Linked DNA regions of Tribolium castaneum. The protein of the gene in region 1 binds, or shares a complex with, the protein of each later gene. Links are inferred from orthologs where the notes say so. Each region holds a gene or a part of one and is shown in the gene's direction. Other genes may lie near its edges.

Evidence for each region.
Region 2: corepressor interacting with RBPJ 1 (region 1) and HDAC3 share a complex: the UniProt entries of both Homo sapiens proteins name them as parts of the notch corepressor complex. The link is inferred for Tribolium castaneum from reciprocal best matches to the Homo sapiens genes CIRSR and HDAC3.
Region 3: corepressor interacting with RBPJ 1 (region 1) and NKAP family protein CG6066 share a complex: the UniProt entries of both Homo sapiens proteins name them as parts of the notch corepressor complex. The link is inferred for Tribolium castaneum from reciprocal best matches to the Homo sapiens genes CIRSR and NKAP.

What each region holds. Positions count from the first base shown.
Region 1 is NC_087395.1:16,037,812-16,041,955, forward strand, and holds corepressor interacting with RBPJ 1, read left to right. Parts: upstream 1-1,356; 5' UTR 1,357-1,467; coding exon 1,468-2,366; intron 2,367-3,231; coding exon 3,232-3,418; 3' UTR 3,419-3,511; downstream 3,512-4,144. Other genes in the region: Sf3b1 (splicing factor 3B subunit 1), read left to right, coding at 3,686-3,713, 3,768-4,036, 4,086-4,144. UniProt on the Homo sapiens protein: May modulate splice site selection during alternative splicing of pre-mRNAs. Regulates transcription and acts as corepressor for RBPJ. Recruits RBPJ to the Sin3-histone deacetylase complex (HDAC). Required for RBPJ-mediated repression of transcription.
Region 2 is NC_087401.1:11,246,734-11,251,065, reverse strand, and holds the start of HDAC3 (histone deacetylase 3), read left to right. Parts: upstream 1-1,497; 5' UTR 1,498-1,659; coding exon 1,660-1,864; intron 1,865-1,912; coding exon 1,913-2,789; intron 2,790-4,332. Other genes in the region: flap endonuclease GEN, read right to left, coding at 592-745, 790-1,069, 1,115-1,272. UniProt on the Homo sapiens protein: Histone deacetylase that catalyzes the deacetylation of lysine residues on the N-terminal part of the core histones (H2A, H2B, H3 and H4), and some other non-histone substrates.
Region 3 is NC_087400.1:4,954,012-4,956,934, reverse strand, and holds NKAP family protein CG6066, read left to right. Parts: upstream 1-1,244; 5' UTR 1,245-1,336; coding exon 1,337-2,236; 3' UTR 2,237-2,289; downstream 2,290-2,923. Other genes in the region: waprin-Rha1, read left to right, coding at 726-951, 999-1,141. UniProt on the Homo sapiens protein: Acts as a transcriptional repressor. Plays a role as a transcriptional corepressor of the Notch-mediated signaling required for T-cell development. Also involved in the TNF and IL-1 induced NF-kappa-B activation.

The sequences.
Region 1 (4,144 bases):
TCTGTCTCTATTTCTGCCCTTTTAGAGCGTTATGGTAGGATATTTGGGGCCGAAATCTCTACCTTTATCATGTGCTATTGCCAGATAGAGACAAAAGTTCAAAAAGTAGGGTTAGGGTTATTATGCTCTCTTCTGAAGTGTTAAATTGTAACTTTAATGGATTTTGTGTGCTTTTCTGCACTTTTAGAGCGTTATTAATTATTGTTGAATATGTTTAAGGGCAGACAAAACTACCTTGAGTCAACGACATAAACTTCAGTGAGATTTATTGAAAAATGAACTTCTCGTGTCAACCTTTTCATGAAAAGGATGTTTAATCGTTTATAAAGGGCGTGTTAACGTGTGTTGTTAAGTTTACCACGTAATAAAACATAAAGTACAACTTTTCTATAAAACCATTTTGCAAAATTCTTATTCATTATTTTCACTATTTTTCTCCTTTTTTTTGTCCAAACGAGCTGGTGATGTGAAATTTCAGTACGAAAATTAGTGGTAACGCCACAAATTGTATTAATTTTAAGTCTCCAGAAAATTCGGTTTTAAAAGTAGGGTTATGTTATCAACAGGAAACGTTAAAATTTAAACTTTTAATAAATTCTGTGTCCGTTTCTGCTCTTTTAGAGCGTTATTAATTATTATTGAATGTGTTCAAGGGCAGATAAATCTACATTGAGTCAACGACATAAACTTCAGTGCGATTTATTTAAATATATATATATATAGGACAAAAATGAACTTTTCGTGTTAAACATTACCATGAAAAAGGGTGTTTAATCGTTCATAAAGGGCCTGTTAACGTGTGTTAAGTTTACTAGGTAATAAAACATAAACTACAACAACTTTTCGATAAAAGCATTTTGCAAAATTCTTATTCATTATTTTTACTATTTTCCTCCTTTTCTATAATTGATTCGCACTTCGGGGGCCATTCTGAATACTGTTTCCACCTTTTTTTTTTCAAAGAGTATTTGATTGTTATGTACTGATACACTCACAACTTCTTTTTTTATTTCACTTTGGGACACTGTTAGGAGCTACCACCAGAAACAGCTTCCAAAGCATTCGTTAAAAACATTTTTTTATTGCATTCCATTCGTAAGAAAGTGAGGTTAAAAATTTGACAACTTGCGCACTGAAGTAGCTACCGCGCAAGCTACCGAAATACTTAATAACCGAATATGTAACAAAATTCGACAAATACAAAAAGGTGGCCACAGTTTATATCTATTTGATAACATTAAACCAGTTACACCCAAAATACACTAATTAATTAAAAACAGTCATTAAATTGAATCTTTTATGAAATTATTTAATAATAATGGTGTTGGGGACTTTTCACTTGTGACACCAGTGTTGCCTTGCCCAGTGCTGCCCTTGCCACTAGCAAGTGTCAGTGTGGTGTCAGTGTGAGTTTGTTTGGCGTTATTAATCGTTTATTTGTGCAATAGTTTAGCAAAAACAGTCAGGATGGGCAAAGGCTTCAACAACTACATGTGTAAGAAGTTCTTCCACCCCGCTTCGCGGGACAACCTGAAGCGGGTGTGGATGGCGGAGCAGAAGGCCGAGGCCTACAAGAAGAAGCAGGAGGAGCTGCGCCAGCAGTACGAGAAGGAGCAGGACTTGCACGACAATAAGGCGATGCTGAGCAAGGAGAGCAAAGACAAGTTGAGCATCAACTTCATGTACGAGCCCCCGCCCGGGGCGCGCAAGGAGCGCGAGCGCGAGGACAACGAGCCGGAGTACAAGTTCGAGTGGCAGCGTAAATACAACGCCCCCCGTGAGAGCTACTGTAAGGGCGATCAAGAGATTAGGGACCAGCCGTTCGGGATACAAGTGCGGAACGTCAGGTGCATCAAGTGCCACAAATGGGGGCACATTAACACGGATAAGGAGTGCCCCATGTACAGTTTGTCGACCAGTGTGGCCAGGTCGCTCGAGTCGGCCTCGATTTTGGACCAGAAGTCGTTGGTTGAGCAAATGAGGGAGGATGGGCTTGCGATTAAAAAGCAGTATTTGAGCAATACGGGGACTGCTAATTATGATTTGATTATTAACGAGGATGCTGATGAGAATTCGGTTGTGACTTTTATTAAGTCGTTGACGAAGAAGCAGAAGAAGGCGTTGTTGAAGAAGTTGGAGAAGATTGAAAAGGGGGGGAGAGATAAGAAGAACAAGAAACGAAGGGATTCAGATGAGGCTTCCTCAGATGAAGACAGGAAGAAAGCAGGGAAGAGGAAGTTCAGGAGGAGGAATCAGAGTACGAGCTCTGAGGAGGAATCGGAAGATGATAAGAAGAAACACAAGAAGAAGGAAAAGTCGTCAGAGTTTAAACTAATGTCCAAAGAGGAGAAAAAGGCATTGATTAAGTAAGTTTCGACTTTAAAACTGAGGACAATGTACTCTACTTTTTAGTCGAATATCAATTTTTTGTACGAAAATTTTCATTTGCAGTAGTTCATTTAAAAAATCACAACTCTTGAAACTTTTACAATAAATAAATAATTATATTAGTATTCGATAACCAAAGGTTCAAAGGGTCTTTTCAAATTTTCAGGATTGTCAAATGTCAAATTGCAAGACTACTATGATTTTTTGAAATTGATCAAAAAGTAATTATAACAGTTTTTTCAAATTTTTGAATGGTAATCAAAAGGATATCGATTTTTATGGAGACTTTTATCAATATCTCCTATATCTATCTCTTATACTTTTTAAAATAATCTCAAAAAAAAAAGACCAAAAGCTCATTGTTTTCAATTTTAATCGAGTAAACTTTCGAAAAATACGATAAAGTTGTGCTATTAAATAAAAGTACTGCTTATTTGATAATAAATCAACTAAAAACTAAATAAAAGTTGGACAGTTGTTGACCATTTTGCAAGGTCTACTTGATTAACTATGAAAATTACGAAGTAAAATCCGTGTTTTTTTTTGTAATTATTTCTAAAAATGTAGGAAATGGGTATAGGACGTGTTCATAAAAGTCACCATAAATATTGATGTTCGATTGCTGTTAAGAAAAAAGGATCGTTCCATTTGAAAGACTGAGTTATAGCCATATTTTGCCAAAATCATACTAGCCTTGAATTTTGACAAATGACAATTTTACAAAAATTCAAAAATCCCTAAATCGATTAAAATAATATTTTTTATTTAAAAACGACAAAAAGGGGGCAATTACAAAAAATAGTACAAAGATCTTTTAATTTACTATTAATTAATTGATTACAGGAAACTGGAAATTGTGGAGAAAGCAATCAGTAAAAGGAACGAAAAGAATGGGCGAAGAAGTTCCGATGAGGACAGGTCAAGGAGGGACAAAAAGCACTCACGGCATAACAATGATGACTACAGACGGGACAGGAAGCGAAAATCTGATGATTCCTATTATGAAAATAGCAAAAGAAGACGCTCTTAAGTTTTTGTTGTACATTTCTTAGAATTGTTGTGATTATAGGGATTATCATGATACTTGTAATAATTTAGAAAACGTAATATATTTTTAAACGTATTCCACCGAATTTTATTTATAAATCCCGCCAACTTTAGCGACAGGCTGGCTATTGGTCCATTTTCGCGCAGGCGCTTAATGAGTCGCCATTTTGTAACGCAAGCTTGTCATTGATTTTCCTTGAAAGTGTTTTGAAACGAAATAAGCCAAAGCAACAAGCATTGGTGCTAGAAAATGGAACAGATACCAAGGACTCATGAAGGTACGCTGTTTTTTGCACCCAAAAGCCCGTTTCATGACTTTTTTGCGTCTCTAGACATCGAGGCCCAAATTCGTGAAATCCAGTCTAAAAAGAAGGAAATTCCGGTGGAAGAGGAGCGAAACGAGAAGGGTGTAGGTTTAGGCGAGAGTGGCTATTTTGATAGTGAGATCTACGATGGGGGCGGCGGTAAGGGTAAATACGAGGGTTATGTGACCTCGATCGCCGCCAACGATGAAGCCGATGAAGAGGACGACGATGTGGGTTATAGTCAGAAACGGACCGGACTGGGGGCCCCTGTGGCGCTCCTCAATGATGTCGCTCAGGTGAGATTTGTGTTATTTAAGTTTTGTGGTAGTTAACTGAGTTGTTTAGAGCGACAAGGATTTTGATCCGTTTGCTGACAAGAGGAGGCCCACGATTGCCGATCGAGA
Region 2 (4,332 bases), on another chromosome or scaffold:
GTTCTGGTTCAAGAAAATTTTCAGGTGTTAGATCTCTCTGTGTTAGGAACGGGAATTTTTCTGAAATTTACTCTAACGGAGCTAAATGTAAACCTTACAGAAACCCATTACTTTTTCCCTCTTCTTGAGGAGGCAATTTTTTTTCCTCCTCAAATTGTCCTATTGCCCTAGTGTTGTTTTTCCAGTTGTTAATTTTCTACTAATTACTTACTACGAAAGTTTATACAAAATAAATTGTTCATCCATACTTTCGACGATCTTTAAGAAATTTATTTCTTAGCTCTCTTAGCTATGAAATGTAAAGAGTTATAGGCTGTAGCAGATTTTTTGAGAATATCCCTATTAAAGTGGGTAATTTATAAATTAGCAACAGTGAAAAATTAGCCAATTATTTTGATAAATATTTTTCTGATGTACCAAAAAAATTGTAAGTGTAATTAAAGTAATCTTTCTGGTAGGTTCCCAGATATTTTAAAAATTGTCGAAATAATTCCTGTATTGTATATTTGGATAATAAATTGATGGATTGATCAGAAAAAAATAATAATAAAATAAAAAAATCAAACAATCATTCGCAATTCGGGGACTCACTCAGTCGCTCATTGGCCACACTGATGTCATAAACGTCCACAGAGCCCCCTTTGGCCGCCTGATTGCCCTGCTGCGAGATGGAAAAATTGCGATAAACGACACGTGCCCCATACGCGAAACAATCCGAATCCTGACTAATAATCCCATCGACGAGCTAAAACAACCCCTTGAACCTTAGAAAAAAAAATATGTTTTTACCCCAGTTTCATTCAATTGTGCGCACAAAGCCTCGGCCTCGCCCTCCCCAGTCACACACGCAAGCCCCAACAAACTCAACATCTCCTCGCACCGTTTCAACGTGTGATTAAACCTCGACCTGTCCTTGGTCTTGGCCCCATTTTTGGGCTTCGCCCCTTTGAACTGCAGGGCATTGCGGGCGGCGATCGTCTTGTATTTGAGCTCGGGGGCGCGCCCCTCGAGCACAAACACCACATTTACGTCCATTAGGAGCAAGTAACAAGTGCGGAAATACAAATTTCTGGAAAAAAAAATCAAAATTTTGAACCGGTGTCAGTCACCTAACCTCAAGTACATGCGGGGTTGCACCGTGTATTCGGTCACGTTTTGCGACTCGCACACCCAGCACGACAAGTCGATGGCCACGGTCTTGCCCTGCAGCTCGTAGAGGGGCTTACGCTCCCCGAAAGGGGCCAGAAGCGTCCACAGGTCTTTGATGCCCATTTTCAAACTTGGGGATTTTGGTTTTGGAGTTGGTGACAAAGTCTCGACGAAAATCGGGGGATAAAACGCTTAAAACAGACTCAAATGGGCAAATTTCGTCTTTATTCTCAAAAACAACATTGCGTCCAGAGTTTTATTTGTGAAATATGTTCTGTAATTAATGATAATAATCTTTACGACAACACCATTTCTTAATGGGTGTTTTTGCGTCGTTCGGTTGGTAGTGAGGCGCAGAAACGTCACGTTTGTTTGGGGGCTGTTTTATCAGAAACCACAATGGGGGCTATCCGGAAGCATGCCGGAGGATAGGTTTTGGCTGACGAAACGCCTTGTTGTTATAGTTTTGTTTTTGTATTTTTTGTACGTGTGGAAGGAGCTATCGGCGTGATGTCGAAGCACCGAGTGTCTTACTTCTTCAACCCTGACGTGGGGAACTTCCACTACGGGACGGGGCACCCCATGAAGCCCCACCGCCTGTCTGTGATCCACAGCTTAGTGTTAAATTACGGGCTGCACAAGCACATGCAGATTTACCGGCCTTACAAGGCCAGCGCCCACGACATGTGTCGCTTCCACTCGGACGAATACATCGGTAAAGCCACCACGGTAATTTCACTTGCCTTAACCCCCACACTTGTAGATTTTCTGCAAAAAGTCACGCCGCAGAACATCCAAGCGTTCACCAAGCATCTGAGTCACTATAACGTGGGGGACGATTGCCCGGTCTTCTGGGGGCTGTTTGACTTCTGCTCCATGTACACGGGGGCGTCGCTCGAGGGGGCCATGAAACTGAACAATAACCACTGCGACATTGCTGTTAATTGGTCAGGGGGGCTCCACCACGCCAAGAAATTCGAAGCCAGTGGTTTCTGCTACGTTAACGATATTGTGATTGGGATTTTAGAATTGCTCAAGTACCACGCGAGGGTTTTATACATTGACATCGACGTGCATCACGGAGACGGCGTCCAGGAAGCCTTCTATCTCACTGATCGGGTCATGACGGTCAGTTTCCACAAATACGGCAATTATTTCTTCCCGGGCACGGGCGATATGTACGAAGTGGGGGCGGAAAGTGGCCGTTATTACTCCGTCAACGTGCCGCTGAAGGAAGGAATCGACGATTCCAGCTATTGGATGGTTTTTAAGCCGGTCATTTCAAGCGTGATGGAATTTTTCCAACCCACTGCAATTGTACTACAATGTGGGGCCGATTCCTTGGCCAACGACCGCCTGGGGTGTTTCTCCCTGAGTACCAAAGGGCACGGGGAGTGTGTTAAGTTCGTCAAGAGTCTGAATGTTCCAACTTTGGTGGTTGGAGGTGGCGGTTATACGCTGAGAAATGTCGCGAGGTGTTGGACTTACGAAACTTCGTTACTTGTGGATGAACAAATTTCAAATGAATTGCCCTACACCGAATATTTGGAGTTTTTCGCACCCGACTTTACCCTACATCCTGAGGTGGTCACAAGGCAGGAAAACGCAAACAGTCGCCAGTATTTGGAGGCCATTACTAAGTAATTTTTAAATTGATAAGTATAAGGGAAAAATGACGAACGTCATTCAAAGAAAAACAACTTTTTTTAGTTAATTAGTTTTAATTTTGACTATGGAGGGCTATAACTTGAGCTAAAAAAATAGTAAAAACTACATGACATTATTAGTTCAAATTCTTGAAAAGTAGTTATTTCCTGTTTTTCCCCTGTACTCTTCAATTGAAGGTTGAACAACTATACCAGTGGCGCAGCCAGAGATAGAGTTTATGGGGGTTTACCTTCGTAAAAATATGTTTTTCATTAGTAAACTAATAACGACGCAGAAATGAAAAATGAGCTCTTTACCTGCATATGATTATTTTAGTTCCTTGTAGCACTTAAAATTAACTAAAAATAAATATGTTGCTGAATGTTTTTTCGGAAATGTTGTTCGGGGCAAAAATAATGTAAAAAAAATTGTCTTAAATTCAAGGTTATTTGTTGTATAGCTCACATTTTGTAGCTACAAAAATTATTAAGAATTTCACACAAAAAGCTTTATCTGTCTGTTTCCTGCCTTATTTTATAGGTGGTAATTGTTTTAATATTTTTGTTTAAGTGTTTCTATTTTAATTATTTTCAAAAATATATGCAAAATAATCGGTAAATAATATTGGTATTTTTTGTTTTGTGTAGATAATATTATTTTTTTTTATTTTTTTATTATTACCAGAAAGATAAGGGAGTGTACCTACTATCAAAAACAGTAATCTGTTAAAAATGTCGGTTTTCATAAAAAATAACGTCATTACTCAAAAAGTTATTTCTACCATGGTATCAGAAATGTAGCATTTATTTTACAAAAAACCTCTCCGAAGATTTTTCTGAAATATAACGAAAATATGGATTTTGTGGGTTGCTTTTCTCGGAATTTTCGGAAGTAGAAAAAATCGAATGTCTACAATGATTGTCTGGAAAGTTTTGTTTTATTACTGCAACTTAAATTATTTTGCATGATTATGTTCTCAACCCCCAACAATCTCCCTTGCTGCGCCACTGAACTATATTAAGGAGGTCTGAAGTGGAACTGAACGCAAAATTTGAAATTGAATTTTTATGAAAAGTATTGCACAAAATAGTTTCATTACAACTGGGTGTTGTTCTAACGTTGAATCATTCCCGAGTTTAAAACGGTTAGAAACGTGATTTGTTTATTTTTCTATAAAAAAATTAAGTTCAAATAATAATAATAATTTATGAAAAAAAAAACATGGCTTAAAATTAATTTTTTTAAAGTAGAAGTTATTTTTAGAACATAATCTTTTACCAAAAAAATCGCCATAGGAGGAAGCCATTTGAAAAAAAAATTAATAACACGTAGACTAAAAGAAATTTCAAAAAATTTTATTCTTAAAAAATTATCACATTTTTAAAGTAGTCGATGACTTAATAATTAGTTTTTTCGTAAGGTACATAGTTTAAGCATAAAATGCTTGGTTCCATACTTTTGCCCAACGTTGTATATGAATTTGAAAAAAAAACTTCTATGTCATTAAAAAATAAAATGAAAAAGCCCATTTTTTGG
Region 3 (2,923 bases), on another chromosome or scaffold:
TTCAAAAATTGTTTTTTTCGAAATTTTTGTTTGTTATTGATTACGTGTATAATACACGTATTAATAAATTTTTTGAAAAATTCAAATAAGAAAAAATTTACCAATCGACCATTTTATTATATTGAGTAAGATAAAAAAATAACTAAATCAAATATAAATATAAATATAAATAAATATAAGAGATTTTTTAAATGTTTCTTTTTAAATAAAAATTGACCTGTCTCAAAAATTTTATTTTTTTTGTTTTTTTTTACTAAGATATTTAAGGTGGCTTGTTTTTAAACTAAATGTGAATTTTGTTGTTATACTTTTGGTTCAATCTGTTTACAGTCTTAAACGTGAAACTGTATAACGATTGAAATAGTGTGACTTCTCTGATAAAACTTTACTCACAGCAGACGCTTTTCTGACTGAAAACGCGATGAAACGCTCAAAAAACTAAAATTTTTGACCTAATTTTGTTTAGCAGCAGGAATTGAAGAAAAAAACAGTAGTAAATTAATACAAGTATAATAAAAATGGGTAATTTTTAATACATTTTTTCTATTTTTGTAGATTTCAACCAATTACTAAATTGCGCAAACCGCAGTGGAACCCCACATCCGCCCTAAATCCGCACACTTAATCAAAATTTCAATTTGTCGTTTTGTGGTTTCCGTTTCTTCGACTCTTGCACCTACACAACATCCAATTCCATTCATCTTAAAGCCCTACAAGTGTTAACAATGCAGGCAAAACTTTTCTTAATCCTTTCCCTTCTAACTGTTTTTGTGTACGGCCAAAGGCCTCGAACAAAATCGGGAGACTGCCCCCCGTACCCCAACGTGGGGATCTGTGAAGTGGCCTGTTTCGAAGACAACCACTGTGCCGGCCATTTCAAATGCTGCCGGACGGCTTGTGGCGGCACTTTTTGTACGGCCCCTGTAACAACGAGGCGAATTCAAAGAGGAGGTGAAATGGATACAATTTTTTTTAAAGAAAATTAATTTGTGTTTTAGAGAAACAAGGGTCTTGTCCAGTTGCACCGTCAGGCCCTTGGGTGTGCTCCAGCAGGTGTGCCCTAGACTCGGACTGCAGGGGGGCTAAAAAGTGCTGCAGGAATCGGTGCGGGGCCATGGCTTGCACCAAACCCGAATTTTAATCAGTTACAATTGTAGTATCGTTGTATGAATAAAAATTAGCAAATCGACGCATTTTGTGTTTTATTTATTTCCTTAAAATTTGAAATGGTTTGAGCAAATGTCAATTCTAGCTTATGGGAATGACGTAAAGTGACTTCAGTTTGACAGTTTTTTTTAAAGGTTATGTTATTGTAAAAAAATTGATTTTTTACGAAATGATGGATGTGGCAAAACACAGACGCAGTCGGTCCCGTTCCCCGGACCACCGGAGACACAAAACTGATAGATCGTTTAAAAATGATCGTAATAGGAGACACAGGTCCAGGTCTCATTCCAGGTCAAGAGACCGCCATTCCAGCAGACGCAGGTCTAGATCCAGAGGCACCACAACAAACGGTTTTGAACGAAACGACAAATATGAAGTCACAAAGAAAAAACACCTTGAGGACGAGTTCATGGAGTCCCGACGCCAGGAGCGTGAGATCCTCGGAATGAGGGATTACCCCAGCATTTGGGGCCAATCCCCCGAACCCGAAGACTCCGACAGTGACGTCGAAGACGTCACCAAGAACGCCCCCAAGCTAAAAAAACGGAAGAAGGAAAAGAAAAAATCCCACAAGAAGCATAAAAAGAAGAAGAAAAAGAAGAAGTCTTCAAGTGAGAGCAGTTCAGGGGAGGAAGAGTGGGTCGAGAAGACCACAACCACCAACAAACCCCAAACCAATGCGGAAGAGACCGAAGAGGTGATCGTCGGCCCCATTTTGAAGCCCCATGCCGCCCTGACTCACAAGGAAATGGGCAAGGCTTTGCTCCCTGGTGAGGGGGCTGCCATGGCTGCGTACGTCGCCGAAGGAAAACGGATACCAAGAAGAGGTGAAATTGGACTCACGTCTGAAGAAATTGAAAGTTTTGAAGCCGTGGGTTATGTCATGTCCGGCTCAAGACACAGGAGAATGGAGGCTGTGAGGATACGGAAAGAAAACCAGATTTATTCAGCTGATGAGAAGCGGGCTTTGGCCATGTTCAGCAAAGAAGAACGGCAGAAGAGGGAGAACAGGATTTTGGGACAGTTCAGGGAAATGGTCAACTCCAAACTGGCCGAAAAGAAAAATTAATTTCGTAGAATTGAGTGTTTATTACGTATAAATAAAGTTTTTTTATTACTTAATTTGTTTTACATTGTTGTACCCAACCGGTCCATCCCCCAGGGAAATGTTTGGCGCTGAAAATTGAACTTAAATTTCGGGTCAAAGTGGCCTATGATTTCGAATTAAGTTGGCAACATCTAGTTGCCAACTAAATTTAAAAATCACAGGCGACTTTAATTAAAGACGGAACAAAACGAATGTTTTACTTTACGTATCCCAGATTTTTGGCTAAATCTAGCGCAGCTCGGCTCCGCCGCCCCGACTGACAACTGAAAACTAAAGGCGTGGTGTTTGTAGGCTTTTCTCTTCGGAAAACTTGACGAAATTGTTCATCACTTGTGTTCTGCAGCGTTTCTTCTAAAGTGGCCACTTGAAATGAAGTACTTTGCAGTTAATTCATAAGTTAATTAGGGTATTTACAAGGTATATTGATGCTTCCAGGAATTGTTCCAGTTTGCGCTAATTCCGACGGGTTCCTCACATCAATTAGAAGAACCTGTCTGTTGTCTTTTAGGCTTCTAACGTAGTCAAAAGTTACTTCGTCTGACATTCTGTGGCTTATATTTAACGTTTGTGAGAATTGGGATAGAGGGCGCTCGAGTGACTGGCAATTTTTTATCGGATTGAAATGAATTCTATGCACAAGTGAATGAG